Linked DNA regions of Anolis sagrei. The protein of the gene in region 3 purifies or fractionates together with the protein of the main gene of each other region. This does not show direct contact. Links are inferred from orthologs where the notes say so. Each region holds a gene or a part of one and is shown on either strand. Other genes may lie near its edges.

The links. The genes of interacting proteins can lie anywhere in the genome.
Region 1: the proteins of YAP1 (region 3) and AMOTL1 purify together in Homo sapiens (affinity purification with mass spectrometry; 8 studies listed by BioGRID and IntAct, with this or other methods). This does not show direct contact. The link is inferred for Anolis sagrei from reciprocal best matches to the Homo sapiens genes YAP1 and AMOTL1.
Region 2: the proteins of YAP1 (region 3) and RASSF8 purify together in Homo sapiens (affinity purification with mass spectrometry, with the first as the bait; 3 studies listed by BioGRID). This does not show direct contact. The link is inferred for Anolis sagrei from reciprocal best matches to the Homo sapiens genes YAP1 and RASSF8.

What each region holds. Positions count from the first base shown.
Region 1 is NC_090023.1:19,891,086-19,898,727, forward strand, and holds the start of AMOTL1 (angiomotin-like protein 1), read left to right. Parts: upstream 1-4,427; 5' UTR 4,428-4,442; coding exon 4,443-4,827; intron 4,828-7,642. UniProt on the Homo sapiens protein: Inhibits the Wnt/beta-catenin signaling pathway, probably by recruiting CTNNB1 to recycling endosomes and hence preventing its translocation to the nucleus.
Region 2 is NC_090025.1:91,141,707-91,149,574, reverse strand, and holds the start of RASSF8 (ras association domain-containing protein 8), read right to left. Parts: upstream 3,216-7,868; 5' UTR 2,906-3,215; intron 1-2,905.
Region 3 is NC_090023.1:23,008,443-23,015,529, reverse strand, and holds the start of YAP1 (transcriptional coactivator YAP1), read right to left. Parts: upstream 3,011-7,087; 5' UTR 2,330-3,010; coding exon 2,051-2,329; intron 1-2,050. Other genes in the region: CFAP300 (cilia- and flagella-associated protein 300), read right to left, coding at 6,552-6,683. UniProt on the Homo sapiens protein: Transcriptional regulator with dual roles as a coactivator and corepressor. Critical downstream regulatory target in the Hippo signaling pathway, crucial for organ size control and tumor suppression by restricting proliferation and promoting apoptosis.

The DNA of each region.
Region 1 (7,642 bases), about 3.1 Mb from region 3:
ACTGGTCTCACAAAGCCCTCTTATAGTGCTGAGGCAATGGAGATGTCAGGAGGGGGGAGGCTGACTACCCACTAAAGATTGCTACTACTACATCATCTCTAGATTATTAAATATAGTTTTCTATGGACGAGCAGATGGCAACTACTGGATGGCATATGTTCTGTATCAGAAACTGGAGCTGATGTGGACTAGCCAATGCAATTTTCTGAATCAGCACCCCAAATAACCAAACTGAATCTAAAGTTGACCAAAAACTGATTCATTACCCTTTTGGTACTAATGTTGAAAGTGGTCCCTGGTCAAAAAAAAGGTTGGGAACCACTGTTATAGATGAAACTTTGCAAATGCTGTTGACTAGACCAGTGGTTCTCAATGTGTGGGTCCCCAGGTGTTTTAGCCTTCAACTCCCAGAAATCCCAGCCAGTTTACCAGCTGTTAGGATTTCTGGGAGTTGAAGGCCAAAACATCTGGGGACTCACACGTTGAGAACCACTGGACTACACAGTACATAATAAGGGGTGCATCTACAGTGTTGAATCAATGCAATTTGATACCAATTTAAGCTGCCATGGCTCAATGCTATAGAATTGTGGGAGCTGTAGTTTTACAAAGTGAACACATATCCCCATATCATGTCCGTCCCAACTACAGTACTGTCCTCATGATGCACTTTCTCCCGTCCTTAATAAAGGCTCAATCCCATTGTTCGCCCCTTCTAAGCTCACCTCTCAGACACATTCTTCTCCATTTACTTATCTCACCCAGGATTTTATCAATTTTATCCTTTGCATTTGGCCCGCCCACTGTGTTTTATTTCTCTATCAAGTTATTTTACTTTTGTTTATTTTATATTTTGTTATACTTTGTTATTTCATTTTTTTTTATTTTGAAGTATTATTTGCTTGTGTGGACTATTTTGCTGTACTGTAATTTTGGGTTTGGCCTCATGTTAGCTGCCCTGAGTCCCCTGTGAGGAGATGGTGGCGGGGTATAAATAAAGATGATGATGATGATGATGATGATGATGATGATTATTATTATTATTAGAAACACAACAAGATGAGTCCACAGCAAACAAGATTACTCTGCTGCTGTTGTATTGGATCACACGTCAGACACTTCCCAAGTGTCTAGGACTGTGTGATGTATTGGCAAATAATGTGTGCAGATCCCAGTAAGGTGGCCTTCTGCAGCTGGCAGATGGTAATTTTGTCAGCGCCGGTTGTGTTCAAATGCAGGCCAAGGTCTTTAGGCACTGCACCCAGTGTGCCAAACACCACTGGGACCACCTTGACTGGCTTGTGCCAGAGTCTTTGCAGTTCGATCTTTAAATCCTCATAATGTGTCATTTTTTCCAGTTGTTTCTCTTCAATCCTGCTGTCGCCTGGGATTGCAACATCGACAATCCATACTTTGTTTTTTAACACGATTGTGAGGTCAGGAGTATTGTGCTCCCAAACTCTGTCTGAATCCAGAAGTCCCAGAGTAGTTTGATGTGTTCATTTTCTGTAATCTTTTAAGGCTTGCGATCCTACCAGTTCTTTGTCTCAGGCAGATGGTATTTGTGGCACAAGTTCTAATGAATCATCTGGGCAACGGTGTTATGCCTCTGCTTGTAGTCTGTCTGCACGATCTTCTTGCAGCAGCTGAGGATGTGATCTATTGTTTCATCTGCTTCCTACATCTACATTTGGGATCTGTCATCGACTTTTTAATTCTGGCTTTGATGGCGTTTGTTTGTTTGTTGTTTTTGTTATTGTTGTTATTATTATTATTATTATTATTATTATTATTATTATTATGTTCACCTAAGAGTAAGCTGTGATTTGGGTCAAGAGAAGTTCATGGTAATATGCATTCTAGAACAAAACCACAGCTTGACACTCCAGTAACTGCCATGGCTCAATGATATGGGCTTATTGGACAGGCAGAGAAGCCTTGCAAAACGATCCCATGATTTCATAGCAGTGAGCCATGGCAGTTCAAAGTAGTGTCAAACTGCATTAAGTCTACAATGTAGACGCACCCTGAGAGAATGTGACTTGCCCAAGTGGGTTTCCATAGCAAAACAGAGATTCAAACCTGGACTCTAGCATTGTAACTCAGTGATCAAAATACTACACTATGATGGCTTTTCTACTAGGCAATTAAATAAGTAATTTTGTTCTACTGGAGAATGCCATTTGTTGTTGTTTGTTTCGTTCAGATAGCAAGAAACCTTGAGTGGTTCTTGTGTGGGCAAAGCACATTGTTTGTTACAAACAATTAAATGAGTCAGTCTAGTACATACACACTAAATCCAAATCTAATTGCTGTGGATGACACTGATATAATAATTGTGAGGCCCAGCATGAGACATTTCCAACAAAGCTTTGCTGTTTTCCCTTCTCCCTAAAAGAACCGCTTTCTCCATTCATTAACCCCCATCCACCTTCCATTTTTCTTTCTCAGCTGTCATTCTACATCCCACAATAACTAAACACCATCATTGGACTCTGTGCTATGGATGAGTCAGAGATTACACTCGCTGGATTTTATTATATCGATTTATTTCATATTCCTATTCCCTCTTGTTCTCAGCCACTATCCTTTTGGAAGCCACCATCTGTGTTTGCTGTAATAAGGACTGATTGAAAGCTGTGTCAAGGCAACCTTCTTCTGTTGCTATAATATTTTATCATTTATACAATAGAATCCCCATATCCATGGTTTCATTTATCCACATCTGACCAAAAATGTCCTTTCTGGGCATGTTTGAGGTCTTCCAGCCTGACTCTTCCTGGGCCAAATGTCCTTCATTTCACAATCACCCATGGTTTTGTGCATCCATATGAAATCTAAGAACATATCCACTGTGGATATGGGGATCATACTGTATGTATCTCCAAAATGTCTTTGGGTGCATCTGCACCAGTGGTTCCCAACCTTTTTTTGACCAGGGACCACTCTGACCAGGGACCACATGACCAGGGACCACTTTGAACAGAAACCACTTTGAACAGAAACCACTTGACCAGGGGCCACTTTGACCAGAGACCACTTTAACAGGGACCACTTTAACATGGACCACCTTGACCAGGGACCACCTTGACTAGGGACTTCTTTGACCAGAGACCACTTTGACCAGGGACCACTTTGGCCAGAGACCACTTTGGCCAGGGACGACTTTGACCAGGGACCTCTTTGGCCAGGGACCTCTTTGGCCAGGGACCACTTTGGCCAGGGACGACTTTGACCAGAGACCTCTTTGGCCAGAGACCACTTTGGCCAGGGACTTCTTTGACCAGGGACCACTTTGACCAGGGACCACCTTGACTAGGGACCACTTTGACTAGGGACTTCTTTGACCAGAGACCACTTTGGCCAGGGACTTCTTTGACCAGGGACCACTTTGACCAGGGACCACCTTGACTAGGGACCACTTTGACTAGGGACTTCTTTGACCAGAGACCACTTTGACCAGGGACCACTTTGACCAGAGACCACTTTGGCCAGGGACCACTTTGACTAGGGACCACTCTGACCAGGGACCACCTTGACCAGGGACCACCTTGATTGGGACCACTTTGGCCAGGGACCACCTTGACCAGGGACCACCTTGACCAGGGACCACCTTGACCAGGAACCACTTTGACCAGAGACCACTTTGATCAGGGACTACTTTGACCAGAGACCACCTTAACAGGGACCACTTGACCAGGGACCATCTTGACCAGGGACTACTCTTCAACATTAGTACCAATCAGTTTTTGGTCAGCTTTAGATTTGGTTTGGTCATTTGGGGTGCTGATTCAGAACATTGCATTGGATAGACCACATCTGTGCTAGCTTCTTCGATATGGAAGTGACTTAAGACCAAGGTGAGAAATTTCACCAAGACATAAAAACAATGGAAGACAGATACCAAGGAAGACCAAAAACACCAGTCCCTCCAAGTGTTTTGGACTTCAACTCCTACAATTCCTAACCACTTAAGCGGCTGAGGAGGAAAAGGAAGGGGCCTGAGGCTTGAGGAATTGTGAGAGTTGAAGTCCAAATCACCTGTGCCTGTGATAGGGGGAAACAGTTGCCAGTCTTGGAATCAGCAAGTCATATATTCCCAGAAATATGACTAATCTTTGAGGCCCCAAAATGCATGTTGGCTGGTGTAAGAAGTTGACTATTTCTGTATTGTCGAAGGCTTTCATGGATGGAATCACTAGGTTCTTGTGGGTTTTTTCGGGCTATAGGGCCATGTTCAGACCTCACTACCTCTGAGGATGCTTGCCATAGGTGCAGGCGAAACATCAGGAGAAATGCCTCTAGAACATGGCCCTATAGCCCGAAAAAACCCACAAGAACCTATTGACTCTGTTTTCCAAATCCAAGCTTCTGAAATCATTCCAGGGTTTCCTGGCGTAGATGCATCCTTGGTGAGGCACTGGATGCCTCTCAGGCTGGGGATGTGGGATGCCCCTTCCAAACCACAAGCCCTGGGATGCCATGGGATGGATGGGCAGCCATTAAAGGGGAATCCCGGCGCTGTCAGTGGAGAGCGTGGAGGGGCGCCTTGGAGAAGCCCTGGGCGGTGGCGAGGCGCGCTAGGACCTGGCAGGCGCCGGCCTCGGAGGGCGCGGCGGGCTTTTCCCCGGGTAGGATTACTTTGGGAAGCCGAGTCCCTGCTGCCTGGGCGCCGTAGCCTTCCAGGGACCGGACGGGGTTGGGGAAAGGAAGGAGGAGAAAGGAAGAGAAGGAGGAAAAGGAGGAGGAGGAGGAGGCAGCTCTGGAGACGTCGAACCCATGGGCCAAGCTTAAGACGCCGCGAAGTTGCTATGATTTGGGCAGGAGGTAAAAGAAAGGGGGGAATCATACTCCCTGGCATTCTGTTCATTCCGGGAGGAGGAAGGGGGTTCCCTTTGCCCCTCTTGCATTCCTCTTTTCCGCTTTTAGCCAAGGCGGGATGCCCCAAAGTGCGGGTCGAGTCGCGCAAAAGGCTGTCAAAGCGCCAAGCGTTGCGCGCTGGAAAAGGCTTTGCGCCATTCCTCGCCTCTGGTTTCCTCTCCTTTCCAAGCCTCCCCTTTGGGTTGGCGGGGCTGGAAAGAGGGGGAAATCCAGGGGAGGGTCGTGCAGAGGGGTGGGCAGCGGATGGAGGGAGGGTGGAAAAGGGGAACCCCATCCCCAGGTCTTGGGAGAGAAGCGCCCTGGCTGCCAAGCGGCTCCTTCTCTCTGCAGGCGGTGAAGGCGATGCTGGAGCTTGCCTGGCACTGTTAGGGCTTCTCATCCCCCTTTGCAAGCCCCTTCCTCCAACTTAGGTATTCCTCGCCTTCTGAAATGTCAACAAACTTGAGATGTGCCCTGGAAGAAGCTTCAGTTCTTGTTCTGGGTTGCTGTGAGTTGTTGTTCCTTGGGGAGGAGAGTTTGCCAAAGGTCCTCAGTGGGATTACTTTTCCAAAGTGCATCTATGTCAGGAATGGGAAAGCCTTTTGTTTTGGACTTCAACTCCCACCGTTTCTAACACTCTCCGGTCCCTTCCTTTCCTCCCTCACCCGCTTAAGTTGCTGTAGATAGAGAATAAATGGCTTGTGGAAGGGCTGTTGTAGGTTTTTCGGGCTCTACAGCCATGGTCTAGAAGCATTATCTCCTGACATTTTGCCTGCATCCATGGCAAGCATCCTCAGAGGTGGTGAGGTCTGTTGGAAACTAGGAAAAATATATATTCTATATCTGTGGAAAGTCCAGAGTGGGAGAAAGAACTCTTGTCTGTTGGAGATAGGTGTGAATGTTTTAACGTTGATTAGCATTTGATGGCCTGGCAGTTTTTAGGAGTGACCTTTTACTGCCTGGGAGAATCCTTTGTTGGGAGGTAATTAGGTGTTTCTGGTTGTTTCTTGTCTGAAGTTCCCCTGTGTTCTTTATTTACTGTTATAATTTTAGAGTTTTTTTAATACTGGTAGCCAGATTTTGTTCATTTTCATGGTTTCTTCCTTTCTTGTGGATTTTAATGGCTTGTGGAAGGCTTTCATGGCCACAATCATTAGGTTGCTGTGAGTTTTATAGGCTATATGGCCGTGTTCCAGAATCATTCTCTCCTGATGTTTTGCCTGCATCTATGACAGGCATCCTCAGAGGTTGTGAGGTCTGTTGGAAACTAGGAAAATGGGGTTTATATATCTGTGGAATAATGTCCAGGGTGGGAGAAAGAACTCTTGTCTACCTGAGGCAAGTGTGAATGTTTACAGAAAACATACACCTTATAGATATCTACATAAAGACTCCAACCATCATCCAAGTCCAAAAAAGAAGCACAATTAAAGCACTGGCAAAATGAATCTGCAAACCCCACCTCCTCCCAAGGTGAACCAAGCCACCTAAACTGGGCTCTACAGGCCAATGGAGACTCCACTACAGACATCAGAAGAGCTGCAAGGCCATGAACAAGCCACCAGAATAAAGATGAAGATCTACCCAGAGGAAAAGTGTTCTTACCATACATCAAGGGAACCACTGACCACATAGGAAAGCTGATGAAGAAACACAATCTGCAAATGATCTACAGACCCACTAAGAAAATCCAACAAATGCTACGTTCAGCAAAGAACAAGAGGGATCCTCTCACTTCTGCAGGAGTCTACTGTATACCATGCAACTGTGGGCAAGTCTACATAGGGACCACCACACAGCAGCATTGTCCAAACACAAATTAAAGAAAAGGAAAGGCAGACTAATCCAACTAGAGAAACCAGCCATAGCAAAGCACTTGATGAACTAACCTGAACACAGCATATTATTTGAGAACACAGAAATGCTGGACCACTCTCACAACCACCATGTCAGACTACACAGAGAAGCCACTGAAATCCACAAGTATGTGGACAATTTGAACAGAAAGGAGGAAACTATGAAAATGAACAAAATCTGGCTACCAGTATTAAAAAACATTATAACAGTAAATAAAGAACAACACTAAAAAAAAACAGGGAAATTCCACACAGGAAATAATTGGGGTTAGCTAATCACTTCCCAGCAAAGGATTCCCCCAGGAAGTAAGAAGCCAGACCTTGAAACTGCTAGGCTATTAAATGCTAATCAAGGCAGCCAACTGCAACATTCACACCTGCCTTAAACAGACAAGAGTTCTTTCTCCCACCCTGGATATTCCACAGAAATATAACCCAAATTTTCCTGGTTTTCAACAGACCTCACAACCTCTGAGCATGCCTGCCATAGAGGCAAGCAAAATGTCAGGAGAGAATGCTTCTGGAACATGGCCATACAGCCTGGAAAATGCACAGCAACCCAGAATAAATGCCCTTTGACACCACTTTAACATCCCAGCCTCAGTGCTATGGAATCATGGAACTGCTGTAAGAGGGAGAACTGACTATAAATGAAGAAACCCATATTTTGTTCGATTCTAAAATGCAATCCATTGTAAAACTCACACACATTTTAGTACCACCAACAGAAATCTGTACATACTTTCACGATCCCATTGCACTGAGCCATGACAGTCAAAGTGGTGTCAAACTGCACTCCTCCTAAGGTGCAGATGAACCTTTAGAACACCCTCTGGAATTGCAATAAGACCACAGACCATTTGAAGACATACTCTGTAGTCTAAACTTGTTTGCAGACTTCTTGCTATTTCGGTTTGTCAGGACGA
Region 2 (7,868 bases), on a different chromosome or scaffold from region 3:
CCGGGAGGACTCAGGGCAGTTTCCAAACAACATCATCAAAACATACAGAGTCACAACATAAGCATGGAATTACCCAACAACACATAAATATTAATAGAAAAAATCCTGCCTGCTCTTCATGTCTATTTGTTAGGGCATGGAAAAGCAATGGGTCAGAACAATTAAAAGGCTGGGTCAAGACTGATACAAATTGAAATAAGATGGGACCAGCATTTGGGTACAGTACTGTAATAGGTAAAACGACAAAAGTGGGAACAAAAGCTATTTCCAGGAGCCTGTTAGAATGACCAGAGTACTATATAGGGGGCTAGGTTGTGTCCGGACAGTGTCTGGACTGAGCTAGCACTGGTCACTCTCGAAGATTTGCTGAAACCACCAAGTCTTCAAACTCTTATGAAAAGAGAGGAGGGATGGGGCCTGTCTTATTTCCCTTGGAAAGGCGTTCCAGAGGCCAGGTGGGGGGGGGGGGCACCACTGAGAAGGCCTTCTCTCTCGTCCCCACCAACCATGGTTGTGACGGAGGTGGGAGCGAGAGGAGGGCCTCCTCCTCAGATCTTAGAATTTGCGCCGGTTCATAGATTCAGATGCGATTGCAAAGATAGGTGGGGACCGAACCGTTAAGAAAAAATAACAGTACAGTGAGGCCACTGCATTGGTTTGCATTACAGGAAGGAAATGTACATCTGCTTACATATAACCCAGAACATCAAGGCAGATAACCCACAATATCTGCTTTGAACTGGATTATCTGAGTCCACACTGCCATAGAATCCTGCTCAATGTGGATTTTTATACAGCTGTGTGGAAGGGCCCCCAGAAAAGCCCCTCAATCCACTCAAACATTAGAAAACAGATGGATCCTCAGTGTTTGTGCATGCTCATTAGAAGGAAGTCCTAATGAAGTCAATAGGTAAGCTTGCCAACCTAGTATTGTTCTTAATTTTTTTTTTTACATTTTTATTGTATCAGACATAGAAAGATACAATCTTCAAAATCAGCAATCAAAATACCAGTATTTTCCCAAATCCCACCACCACCCATCCACATCTCCCCCCTCCCCCCGCCCAGGAACAGTTTACTACTTTTGCTATTCTTATTACAATTGTTCAATCACGAGGTTAGTCTTATTTAACTCCTTATACTTATCTTTCCCCTTTATTCTGGAAATGAGACCCTTCCATTTTGCCTCCCATGTCCTTCTGATTTGGCCCGTCCTATAGTAAGTTTTCTTTCACTAATCTATCTTTCTTTCTTTCTTTCTATATATAAATACTCTGTACGTAATGAGTACCTTAAAAACAAAAGAACCAATGAACGAAATCACAGCAAATTTGGCAACAAAACATCTTACAACACAAGGAGTGACCATCACTCAAAAAATTATGATTTTGTCATTTGGGAGATGTAGTTGCTGGGATTTATAGTTCACCTACAATCAAAGAGCATTCTGAACTCCACCAACGATGGAATTGAACCAAACTTGGCACACAGAACTCCCATGACCAAAGGAAAATACTAGAATTGTTTGGTGGGCATTGACCTTGAGTTTGGGAGTTGTAGTCCACCTACATCCAGAGAGCACTGTGGACTCAAACAATGATGGATCTGGACCAAACTTGGCACAAGCACTCAATACGCCCAAATATGAACACAGATGGAGTTTGGGGGAAATAGACCTTGATATTTGGGAGTTGTAGTCACTGGGATTCACAGTTCACCTACAATCAAAGAGCATCCTGAACCCCACGAACGACAGAATCGGGGCAAACTTTCCACACAGAACCCCCATGACCAACAGAAAATACTTAAGGCCATCCAATCCAACTCCCTTCTTCAGGGCAAGAAAACGTAATCAAAGTCCTCCTGACAAAAAGCCACCCAACCATAGATAGATATAGATAGATAGATATGATTCACACACACAGCGAGAGAGATAGTATTATAGATTTGAAAGGGACCCTTAAAGAAGGATAATGATATCTTGCATGTTCCAGGATGGGCAAACCAGGCACTCTCCACATCAACAATGACAAAGAAACAACAAGAAGTACTGTTTACCCACAAGTATAAAGGAATTACATATATTAGAAACCAACACTTTCTCGTTACTTTATTTTCCAGATCAACAGACTGGGCCACAGCAACGTGTGGCAGGGGACAGCTAGTATGTGTGTGTGTGTGGTTTTGAGCATGCACTGTAATGTAAATTTTGTTTTTTGGCTTTTGAAGTCCCTTCTGCTGTGTTTTTATGAGTGATTGTCACTCGTTGGCCTGATATGTGTTTTGTGTCCAAATTTGGTGTCAATTCGTCCAGTGGTGTTTGAGTTATGTTACTCCCACAAATTACATTTTTATTTATATAGATATTGTTCTTATTTTAAAGAAATGTGTGTGGGGGAGGGGGTGGCTTAAGAATATATTTGTGTTGACCAAAAGGGGCTGTTTGGGGTTCTTTTCAACGGATTGTGCTGCCAGTTTCATAATTTATGACTTTAAAAAAAGTAACAAGTTTGGGAAATCAGGCTGACGTTTGAAGACATCCTGAGTTGATGCATTAACTTCCTAGTAAACCTAAGCAGGCTGCCTGCTATGGGTGGACCAAGTGAAGGGGGGAGGGAGGAGGAATGATGCTGAGGCCGAAAATTGGGGGGGGGGGGGGGGACGGTAAAACAAGCCGTCAAGGAGGCAAAGCGGAAGACAAGTCGGAAAGAGGGGAGGACTTGAGGAATGAGAGGAAACCCTGCAAGAAAGCAGCTGAGGAAGGAAGGAATGCTGGAGGCGGGGAGGGGGAAAGAGAGAGAGAGAGAGAGAGGAGCCCAAAAGAGCAGGAGAAGGGAGGGAAGGAAGGAAGCGAGGAGAGGCAGCGGTGAAGGGAAGGGACGCCAACGCCGAAGTTTGTACATACGGGCTTCTCTGGCTACGGCTCCATCCGCGGCTGGGGTTCCTCTCCTCTCTGCAGTCGCCGCTGCGGGCTTGCCTCCGCCCCTTCCCCAGCCAAGGAAGCTCGCGCCCTGCTTGCCTCCCTGACTGGATTCCTTGCCTCGCGCTCTCTCTCTCTCTCGCGCGCGCGCGCCCAATCTCTCTCGCTGAGTTGGCTGCAGGCAACGGAGTTTGGAGCTGGCCTCCTGGCCCCGCCCCCGCCTGGCTGCGTCTTTGGAGCTCTTCCCCGACGGTCCGCCTGCCTTCTCCTCCAGGAGGGACCGAAAGGGAGGCGTGGGAGCTCTTAAAGCCGCAGCAGCAGCAGCATCCGCATCCGTCGCAGGAGGAAGAGGAGGGGGCCAGGCCTTCCCTCCGCTCCTGCCGGCGGAGGGGAGGCGCGCGCCCATGGGCGCCTGCTGCACGAGGTCAAGCTCTCCCTCCCGGTCACTGATCCCGGCTGGGAGGCACCTAGAACAAGCCAGGCACCCGCAGAGAATCATCGCTGGGGAGATTTGGGGGGGGGGGGGGAGGTAGACTGTAGAGAAAATTCATACACACATATAGGAATGTGCAGGGCCGTAGCCAGAAAAAAATTTCGGGGAGGGTTGACAATTTCAGGGGGGGGGGTTAAAATTTCAGTGGGGGGGTTTGAAAATTTCAGGGAGGGTTGAAATTTTCGGGGGGGGGGGGTTGAAACCTACCTCCTAGCTCACGCTGAAGCAAAGAGCACAGCAGGGGGAAAAGCAACCTTCAATAGTCTGCAGCTCCACCCCTGTCAACCACCTCCACCAAGTCTGGCCTCCTTAATGAGAGCATTCAACAGACACACCCCACCCAACTTGGTTGCTTCACTACATCCGCTATTGCTGAAAGTAATGACAGTGTGAATAAATTGTCAATATTTGCTTGAGATAGTGCTTACAGTTCTGGAGGGACTCTTAATTTTTTGCATCTCATAGACCTAGCATGGGGATTTTTTTAACCAGTTAAAATTCATGAGTAAACCAGGTTTTTTAAAAAAATCTGAAACATTTCGGGGGGGGGGGATTGAACCCCTAAAACCACCCCCTCGCTACAGGCCTGGGAATGTGTGTATATTCTTTTGGGAGGGGGAGGGGGGAAGTTTGGTAATATCGGTTTGGTGATGTGCAGGCCTGTAGCGAGGGGGTGGCTTTAGGGGTTCAACCCCCCTCCCCCCAAATGTTTCAGATTTTTTTAAAAAAACCTGGTTTACTCATGAATTTTAATTGTTTAACCCAATCCCCTTTTTATCTTGTATGCAGAACACATCATGCGATGTGCGGGGCTTGATGAATGCAAGGCTGGGGTGAAAATTGCTGGAAGAAACATTAACAACCTCAGATATGCAGATGACACCACTCTGATGGCCGAAAGCGAGGAGGAGCTGAGGAGCCTTCTAATCAAGGTGAAAGAAAAGCTGGGTTGCAGCTAAACATAAAAAAAACCAAGATTATGGCAACAAGAATGATTGACAACTGGAAAATAGAGGGAGAAAATGTGGAGGCCATAGAATCATAGAATCATAGAATCAAAGAGTTGGAAGAGACCTCATGGGCCATCCAGTCCAACCCCCTGCCAAGAAGCAGGAATATTGCATTCAAATCATCCCTGACAGATGGCCATCCAGCCTCTGTTTAAAAGCTTCCAAAGAAGGAGCCTCCACCACACTCCTGGGCAGAGAGTTCCACTGCTGAACGGCTCTCACAGGAAGTTCTTCCTCATGTTCAGATGGAATCTCCTCTCTTGTAGTTTGAAGCCATTGCTCCGCGTCCTAGTCTCCAAGGAAGCAGAAAACAAGCTTGCTCCCTCCTCCCTGTGGCTTCCTCTCACATATTTATACATGGCTATCATGTCTCCTCTCAGCCTTCTCTTCTTCAGGCTAAACATGCCCAGTTCCCTAAGCCGCTCCTCATAGGGCTTGTTCTCCAGACCCTTGATCATTTTAGTCGCCCTCCTCTGGACACATTCCAGCTTGTCAATATCTCTCTCCATAACATACTTTGTATTTCTAGGCGCAAAGATCACTGCAGATGCAGACTGTAGCCAGGAAATCAGAAGACGCTTACTTCTTGGGAGGAGAGCAATGTCCAGTCTCAATAAAATAGTGAAGAGTAGAGACATCAGACTGGCAACAAAGATCCGCCTAGTCAAAGCCATGGTATTCCCTGTAGTAACCTACGGATGTGAGAGCTGGACCTTAGGGAAGGCTGAGCGAAGGAAGATCGATGCTTTTGAGCTGTGGTGTTGGAGGAAAGTTCTGAGAGTGCCTTGGACTGCGAGAAGATCCAACCAGTCCATCCTCCAGGAAATAAAGCCCGACTGCTCACTGGAGGGAAGGATACTAGAGACAAAGTTGAAGTACTTTGGCCACATCATGAGGAGACAGCAAAGCCTAGAGAAGACAATTATGCTGGGGAAAGTGGAAGGCAAAAGGAAGAGGGGCCAACCAAGGGCAAGATGGATGGATGGCATCCTTGAAGCGACTGGACTGACCTTGAAAGAGCTGGGGGTGCTGACGGCCGACAGGGAGCTCTGGCGTGGGCTGGTCCATGAGGTCACGAAGAGTTGGAGATGACTGAACGAATGAACAACAACAAGCATCTCCCGAAGGATTCGATGCGGCTTACACAGGCCGAGGCCTCAACACACAACACAACAGTCCAATCTAAGCAAATCAAACAATTAAAAACAGAATAAAGCAAAATAAACAACAGGCACAATACACTAAACACAATAAAACTGGGCCAGGCCAAAGCAATGGGTACAAGATTAAAAGTGCTGATGTGACAGGAGGTGTATATAGGGCTTCCAGGGCAAGTGCGATGTGCAGCAATCATTGGTTCTGATAAGGTGCTTATGGGACTTGGTAGTGGAGATTTCCTAATCTGGGAAGGCGCATCGGAAAAGCCAGGTCTTCAAGTTCTTTCTGAAGACAGCCAATGTAGGGGCCTGTCTAAGGTCTTTGGGGAGGGTGTTCCAGAGTCGGGGGGCCACCACAGAAAAGGCCCTGTCCCGCGTCCCCACCAAGCGCGCTTGCGACGCCGGTGGGATTACGAGCAGGGCCTCTCCAGATGACCGAAGAGAACGCGTGGGTTCGTAGATGGAAATGTGGTCACGCAGGTAGGCTGGTCCCAAACCGTTCAGGGCTTTGTAGGTAAGCACCTGCACCTTGAATAGGGCTTGGAAATTAAATGGCAGCCAGTGGAGCTCCTTGAACAAGAGGGTTGACCTCTCTCTGTAAGGGGCCCCAGTTAGCATCCTGGCTGCTGATCGTTGGACCAGTTGGAGCTTCCGAGCCGTCTTCAAGGGCAGCCCCACGTAGAGCGCATTGATCCCGGCTGGGAGGCACCTAGAACAAGCCAGGCACCCGCAGAGAATCATCGCTGGGGAGATTTGGGGGGGGGGGAGGTAGACTGTAGAGAAAATTCATACACACATATTGGAATGTGTGTATATTTTTTTGGGAGGGGAAGGGGGAGGGGGGAAGTTTGGTAATATTGGTTTGGTGATGTGCAGGCCTGTAGCGAGGGGGTGGTTTTAGGGGTTCAACCCCCCCCCCCCAAATGTTTCAGATTTTTTTTAAAAAAACCTGGTTTACTCATGAATTTTAACTGGTTAACCAAATCCCCATGCGAAGTCTATGAGATGCAAAAAATGAAGAGCTATGGGGAGCCCTCTCAGCCCGGTCATAGCTAACTTCTACATGGAACACTTTGAAGAACAAGCCCTGGAGACAGCAACCAAAAAGCCCACGATATGGTTCAGATATGTGGATGACACTTTCACCATTTGGAGCCAGGTTCCTGGACCATCTTAACAGCATCCATCCAAACATCCAGTTCACCATGGAAAAAGAAAATGAAGGAAGACTGCCTTTTCTAGATGTCCTAGTCATCCGCAAACCAGATCAACAATTGGGTCACACCGTCTACAGAAAACCCACACACACAGATAGATATCTACATAAAAACTCCAACCATCACCCAAGTCAAAAAAGAAGCACCATTAAAGCCTTGGCAGACCGTGCAAAAAGAATCTGCGAACCCCACCTCCTCCAAGATGAACTGAACCACCTCAACTGGGCTCTCCAGGCCAATGGATACTCCACCTCAGCCATCAGAAGAGCTGCAAGACCAAGAACAAGCCACGAGAGTCAAGATGAAGATCCACCCAGATTAAAAGTGTTCCTGCCATACATCAAGGGAACCACTGACCACATAGGGAAGCTGATGAGGAAACACAACATGCAAACAATCTACAAACCCACCAAGAAAATCCAACAAATGCTACGTTCAGCAAAGGACAAGAGGGATCCTCTCACCTCTGCAGGAGTCTACCGTATACCATGCAGCTGTGGACAAGTCTACATAGGGACCACCAAACGCAGCATCGCCCAAACACGAATCAAGGAACATGAAAGGCACTGCAGACTACTTCAACCAGAGAAGTCAGCCATAGCAGAGCACCTGATGAACCAGCCTGGACACAGCATATTATTTGGGAACACAGAAATGCTGGACCACACCAACAACCACCATGTCAGACTACACAGAGAAGCCATTGAAATCCACAAGCATGTGGACAATTTCAACAGAAAGGAAGAGACCATGAAAATGAACAAAATCTGGCTACCAGTATTAAAAAACTCTAAAATTACAACAGCAAAACAACAGAGAGGAAACAACCAGGCACAGATTAACACCTCCCAGCAAGAGATTTTCCCAGGCTCAGGCAGGCCTTCAAATGCTAATGAAGGTGATCAGTTGAAACATTCACACCTAGCTCCAGCAGAGAAACGCTCTTTGCCCCACCCAAGCCATTCCACAGATATATAAACCCCTTTTCCTAGTTCCAACAGACCTCACTACCTCTGAGGATGCTTGCCATAGATGCAGGCGAAACGTCAGGAGAAATGCCTCTAGAACATG
Region 3 (7,087 bases):
CTGGAGCTTTCTCCCACAAGGCTTCTCTTATGCTAGGCCTCCCTTGGAAGGCCCAAGTTTGCCCATACCTAATAAAGACCTTGTAGTGTTACACACAACAGCCTTCGCAGTGGGACTTTCTCACACAGGGCTTCTCATACCAGGCCTTCCTCATAGTGAAACCTCTCTCACACAGAGGCATTTTTACTCTTCCCAGAAAAGGAGGGCGCCTGAGGCTGTTAGGAATAGTAGGAGTTGAAGCCCAAAACACCTGGAGGGAGGGCCCAAGTTGGCCCATACCGGCTAAAAACCTTGTATCTTTACACACAGCAGCCTTCACACTGGAGGTTTCTCACACAAGGCTTCTCCCACACCAGGCCTTCCTCATAGTGAAACTTCTCTCACACTGAGGCATTTTTTCTCTTTGCAGAAAAGGAAGAGGCCTGAGGCTGTTAGGAATGGTGAGAGTTGGAAGTCCAAAACACCTGGAGGAAGGGCCCAAGTTTGCCCATACCTGCTAAAGACCTTGTAGCTTTACACACAGCAGCATTCACACAAGCTTCTCTCATACCAGGCCTTCCTCATAGTGAAACTTCTCTCACACTGAGGCATTTTTCTCTTTGCAGAAATGGAAGAGGCCTGAGGCTGTTAGGAATGGTGAGAGTTGGAAGTCCAAAACACCTGGAGGAAAGGCCCAAGTTTGTCCATATCTGCTAAAGACCTTGCAGCTTTACACAAAAGAGCCCTCATACTGGAACTTTCTCCCACAAGGCTTCTCTCATACCAGGCCTTCTCATACCAGGCCTTCCTTGGAAGGGCCCAAGTTTGCCCATACCTGCTAAAGACCTTGTAGCTTTACACACAACAGCCTTCACAGTGGGGCTTTCTCACACAGGGCTTCTCTCACACCAGGCCTACCTCATAGTGAAACTTCTCTCACACAGAGGCATTTTTACTCTTTTCAGAAAAGGAAGGGGCCTGAGGCTGTTAGGAATGGTGAGAGTTGGAAGTCCAAAACACCTGGAGGGAGGGCCCAATTTGTCCATACCTGCTAAAAACCTTGTAGCTTTACACACAGCAGCCTTCACACTGGAGGTTTCTCACACAAGACTTCTCTCACACTAGGCCTTCCTCATAGTAAAACTTCTCTCACACTGAGGCATTTTTACTCTTCCCAGAAAAGGAGGGCACCTGAGGCTGTTAGGAATAGTAGGAGTTGAAGCCCAAAACACCTGGAGGGAGGGCCCAAGTTTGTCCATATCTGCTAAAGACTTTGCAGTTTTACACAAAACAGCCCTTACACTGGAGCTTTCTCCCACAAGGCTTCTCTTTTAATAGGCTTTCTCATACCAGGCCTTCCTCAGGAGGGCCCAAGTTTGCCCATACCTGCTAAAGACCTTCTAGTGTTACACATAACAGCCTTCACAGTGGGGCTTTCTCACACAAGGCTTCTCTCACACCAGACCATCCTCACAGTGAAACTTCTCTCACACTGAGGCATTTTTACTCTTCCCAGAAAAGGAGGGCGCCTGAGGCTGTAGGAGTCGAAGCTCAAAACACCTGGCCCAAGTTTGCCTATACCTGCTAAGGACCTTGTAGCTTTACACACAGCAGCCTTCACACTGGAGGTTTCTCACACAGGGCTTCTCTCACACCAGGCCATCCTCATAGTGAAACTTTGAGGCTGTTAGGAATAGTAGGAGTTGAAGCCCAAAACACCTGGAGGGAGGGCCCAAGTTGGCCCATACCTGCTAAAGACCTTGTAGCGTTACACACAACAGCCTTCACAGTGGAGCTTTCTCACACAGGGCTTCTCTCACACCAGGCCTTCCTCATAGTGAAACTTCTCTCACACAGAGGCATTTTTACTCTTCCCAGAAAAGGAAGGGGCCTGAGGCTGTTAGGAATAGTAGGAGTTGAAGCCCAAAGCACCTGGAGGGAGGGCCCAAGTTGGCCCATGCCTGTTCTACATGTAGATGCACCCCAGGAGGTTAGAGTAGGGATTGCCAAACTCCAGCTCAGCAGGTACTTGCAATGCCCAGTGTCCAGGGCGCCCCTTCCTCCCGCTCACCTGTCTGGAGTGGGCCTTGGGCTCTGGCGGCTTGAAGAAGGAGTCCGGCAGCTTCCGGAGCCTCATGGGCAGCGTGTGGGGCACGTTGGCGCCCTTGGGGTTCATGACGGCGTTGAAGAGGGCCTCCAGGTCGGTCTCCGAGTCTCCCCGGACGTGGACGATCTGGTGTCCGGCCGGAGGCGGCGGCGGGGGCGGAGGCGGCTGTTGCTGCTGCCCGGAGCCGCCGCTCTCCGGGGCCGAGGCTTGCGGAGGGGTCTGCCCCGCTGCGGAGGCCTCCATGGCGGGCGACGGGGCTCCTCCTCCTCCTCTCCCCCTCCTCGGCTGCTTCTCTCAAGCCTCCGCTCCCGGCTGGCCGTCTTTCATCCCCCGAAACCTTCGCTTGCTTCTTTTTTCTCCTTCAGCCGAGCTCAAAACAAAACTTCGCAAACTAGCCCGCCCGCGCCGAACTCCGCCTCTAATGCGACTCAATGTAGCCCGGCCGCAGAAACTGAAGATTTTTTTTCTCCCTCTTCTCGCGCCCGGCCGCGCGGAAATCCTTTCAGAGCAATTTTTCCTCCAAGCCGCCTGTCAATCAATCGCAATCACTGCAATCTTCCTTTCCTCCTTCACTAATCCGTCCCAACTCCGATATAAGTTGGTTACTTCTCAATTATCTCTTTGACTGACTCCTAAAGAAAAGTTCGCAAAGGCGCCCGCCCGAGTCAATTCTGTAGGAATCAGTTCTTGATTCTTTTTTTTCCTTCCTTCGCACGCAAAATTTTTTCAACTCTCCCGACAATTTTCTCCTCTAATCCGTCCCAGCTTTGAGGAAAAAAAAGAAAATAGATGTATAGATCTATCTATAATGCCTCGACGTCCCTGTTTGTCGTTGATCAGGAGCTCAAACGCTGCCAAACAAAAGTTCCCAAAGTCGCCCGCCCGAGCCAGCTCCGCCCCGCGAGGGCCCGCCCGCGCCGAATTTCGACGGGGCTTAATGCAGCCCAGCCAGAGTTAAAGGAGGCTCTGTTTCAATTCTCCTTTCACGCGCCCGCCCACTCTGATTTTTTTAAAAGCAATTTTGCACTGATTTAAAGACTTCAATGTGTTGGGATTCCCTCACGTTTACTTTCGTGGCTCTTTTTTTCCTCTTTTCCAGCTGAGACAATTGTTGTGTTTTTATTTTTAGTCGTTTTTCAAGCAAACCCGCCCGAGTCGTTTTCTTGGCCTCCACTAGTGTCCAGGAACCGTGTATTTTATACTTCTACCCACCCTCCTCATCCTGTCTCCCCCTCCAAAAAAAAAAAAGTTTTCCAACCCTCCCACGGAGACGAAAAGGAGGGGAAAGTGGGAGTATTTCGCCTCCCACACACACACACACACACCATTAAAAAGAGGAGAAAGGGAGGGGGAAAGGAAACAAGACCCCAACCCACCAGGCTTCAAAGCCCCCATGGAAGAGGAGGAGGGAAGGGAAGGGGAGGGAAAGGACACCTCTGCAATCATTGCCAGGACTTTGTGTTCTGTGGTTGCTTTGCAGCAAGGCTTCTCTAGCAAGCTTGGTGGAGAATCAACCCTTGCTTACCCTACCTCTTTATTCCCCCCAAAATAAATCACAGCCTGCAATCTTAACTATTGTCTGCTCAAAAGTAAACCTTAATAAACTCAATGTCAAACTCTGGCATAGACACTGAGAACTGGAAAGCCCTGGGCCTTGAGCGCTCCAGCTGGAGGTCAGCTGTGACCACCAGTGTTGTAGAATTTGAAGAAGCAGGAATGGAGAGCAAAAGAAAGAAACATGCCAAGAGGAAGGTGCATGAAGCCAACCCCGACCGGGACCGCCTTCCACCTGGAAACCGATGCCCTCACTGCGGGAGAACATGCAGATCAATAATAGGGCTCCACAGTCACCTACGTACCAACTGCCAGTAAACCAACCTTACTCCGACAACGAGGGATTATTATTATTATTATTAAACTTTATTTGTTCCCCGCTAGCATCTCCCGAAGGACTCATTGCGGCTTACAAAGGCCAAGGCCTCAACACAACAACAGCAAACAATAACAATACGATGCAAAGCAAATTAAAAACATAAGCAATAAGAAAACATTACACTATTACGCAATAAAAACCAGGGCTGGGCCAGTGATGGGTACAGGTTAAAAAGTGCTGGCTGTGAGAGGTAGTATGTTGGGATTCTGGGCAAGTGCAATGTGCAGAGAGTCTTAAACTCTAATAAAGTGCTTCTGGGACATAGTGGGGGTTATCCTATTCCGGAAAAGCACATCTGAATAGCCAGGTCTTCAAGTTTTTCCTAAAGACTGCCAACGTGGGTGCTAGTCTAATGTCTTTGGGGAGGGTGTTCCAGAGTTGGGGGGCAACCACAGAGAAGGCCCTGTCCCTCGTCCCCACCAAACGTGCCTGCGACGCAGGTGGGATCGCGAGCAGGGCCCCTCCGGATGAACGAAGGGAGCGCGTGGGTTCATAAACGGAGATGCGGTCACGCAGGTAGGCAGGTCCCAAACCGTTTAGGGCTTTGTAGGTAAGCACCTGCACCTTGAATTAGATCACCTAAGTAAGCAGCTAAGATGAAGGTGGCATGCTTTCAGGGTGAAGAATTGTCACAACCTGACACCACTTTGAACTGCCATGGCACAATGCAATGGAATCCAAGGATTTGCAGTCTGGTGAGGCACCAGCAGCTTCTCGCACAGAAAGCTAAAGACCAGGCCTGGGAAAACTTGGGCCCTCCCTCCAGGTGTTTTGGACTTTAACTCCCACCATTCCCAGCAGCCATTCTCTCACGCCAGAAGCGACTTGCAGTTTCTCAAGTCGCGCCTGACACGAGAAAAAAAGCAGCCTCAAGCCCTTTATTTATTTACGATATTTCTATCCCGCCTTTCTTGAACTTGAAGGTGACCCAAGATGGCTTTACAACATAGGCAGCTATTAGATGCCGTTAAAACAATGTAAAAATTACAATATTTTTTTTGATTTATAAAATGCATACATTAAAACCTTTAAAAACATATAAAACCTCGTCGTCCAAAAACATTGTCTAAGCTGTTTCAGTATTTGATTTCACATACTTCCGTGTTTATTTATTGTACTAGATTCCCAAAGGCTTGTTCAAATAGCCATGTTTTCACTGGTCTGTGGAAAGTCAGGAGGAAAGGGGTTCATTTAATATCCCTAGAGAGGGAGTTCCACAGTTGAGGGGCCACCACTGAGAAGGCCCTGTCTCTCGGCCCCGCCAGTTGCATCTGCAAAGAAGGCAGGATCAAGAGCAGGGCCTCCCCAGATGATCTTAAACTCCTAGATGGTTCATAGGGAGAGATAAATTCGGACATGTAAGTTGGGCCAGAACCATTTAGGGTTTTATAGTCTAAAGCCAGCACTTTGGATTGTGCTCGGTAGCAAACTGGCAGCAAGTGTCAGGTAGGCCTCAGAGTTAGTAGGCCTCAGTGTGTGAGAGGCCTGGTGTGAGGACAGCCTGGTGAGAGAAGCCCCAGGTTTATTTATTTATTTACTTACAACATTTCTATCCTGCCTTTCTCACCCTGGAGGGGACTCAAGTCGGCTTTACAAAAAGGCAACAATTTGATGCCTTAAAACACAATGTACAGTTAAATAAATATTAAAATATAATTTTAAAGTACATTAAAACAATTAAAACATTTAAAAACAATCAGGTTGAAGACTTTGTGTAAGAAGCTCCAGTGTGAAGGCTACTGTGTGTAAAAAGGCAACTGTGTAAAAAAGGCAACTCTGTACATAGGGAAAGGGAAGGGACCTGAGGCTGTTAGGAATGGTGGGAGTTGAAGTCCAAAACACCTGGAAGGAGGGCCCAAGTTTGCCCATGCCTCCCCATGACCTTGTAAAAATGATAACTCCCATCATTCCATACCATGGAGCCATGGGAGTTGAAGTAGTACCAAACTGCATCACTTCTACAGTGTAAAACAAACAAAATGTTTTACAAAATGTTGGGGTTCACTTTCTCTTTTTTTAAAAATTCCCTCATTAATTATAAAATTATTGCTGCTTTAGGACCACATAAGCAATCTGAACTGAGAACTGTTTCTTGACCCATCAATCATCAACAACAGACTCATCAATCAAATTCCAAACCAATAGTTATATGTTTTCATAGTTTAAAATTGCTATTTCATACTCAAAATGTATGTACACAACATTTAAAAAGTTTTTATTTATGGTTAAGAAAACACAAATGTAAATGTTATTATGATAGTTTCAAATAAGAGTCTTTGTAGGCAGGATATAATTCAGCAACAGCAAAACTTTTCAAATAGTACATTGCACAAGTATTGATATGGGTATTAAGTCTGTAACATTAATAATACAAAATATGTGTTTGAAACCATACTGAGTACCTTAGATTTCTGGGAAGGGGAAAACGTGTGTAGATAACATAGATCTCTTTGAAAAGAACAGAATCCTGACAAATCTATATCTAAGGAGAATTCATCTATTCATCAAATAAACTTGAGGAATCAAACCCAGTCAATTACAGAACAAAGCTCCGCCGTAAGAATGATACAAAACATAAATGTGCCGTTTCAAAGGATTCACGATCAAATAGGCAAAATTCTGCTCATGTCTGTTCGATGATGGATAACAAAGGCCATGAGCATCCTGGAAGAAAAAGTATATAGCATTAATATAATGTAATAATGGATAGTACTCATTTGTGAAAGAGTTCTAGAGCCTGGTTTAAATTGAGTTAAGCACTCTTGTCCTGCTTTTGAACCCCATTTTTGGACAAAAGGTAGGATATAATCTGCCCTGAGTCCCCTTGGGGAGATAGAGCGGAAAACAAATTATTATTATTATTATTATTATTATTATTATTATTATTATTATAAATAAAATGCTTGATTTTTATGTGTAACACTAAACCACTCCCTCTTGATGTGACCCAAATATGAGGAGATGACTGAAATAAGCTGCTTGTTTTCCTAATTAATTGTGATTTTTGTTTATGTCCAAAGCAAGGCAAACTGTGGTTATTGTTAAATATACAGGTTATGTATCTCTTA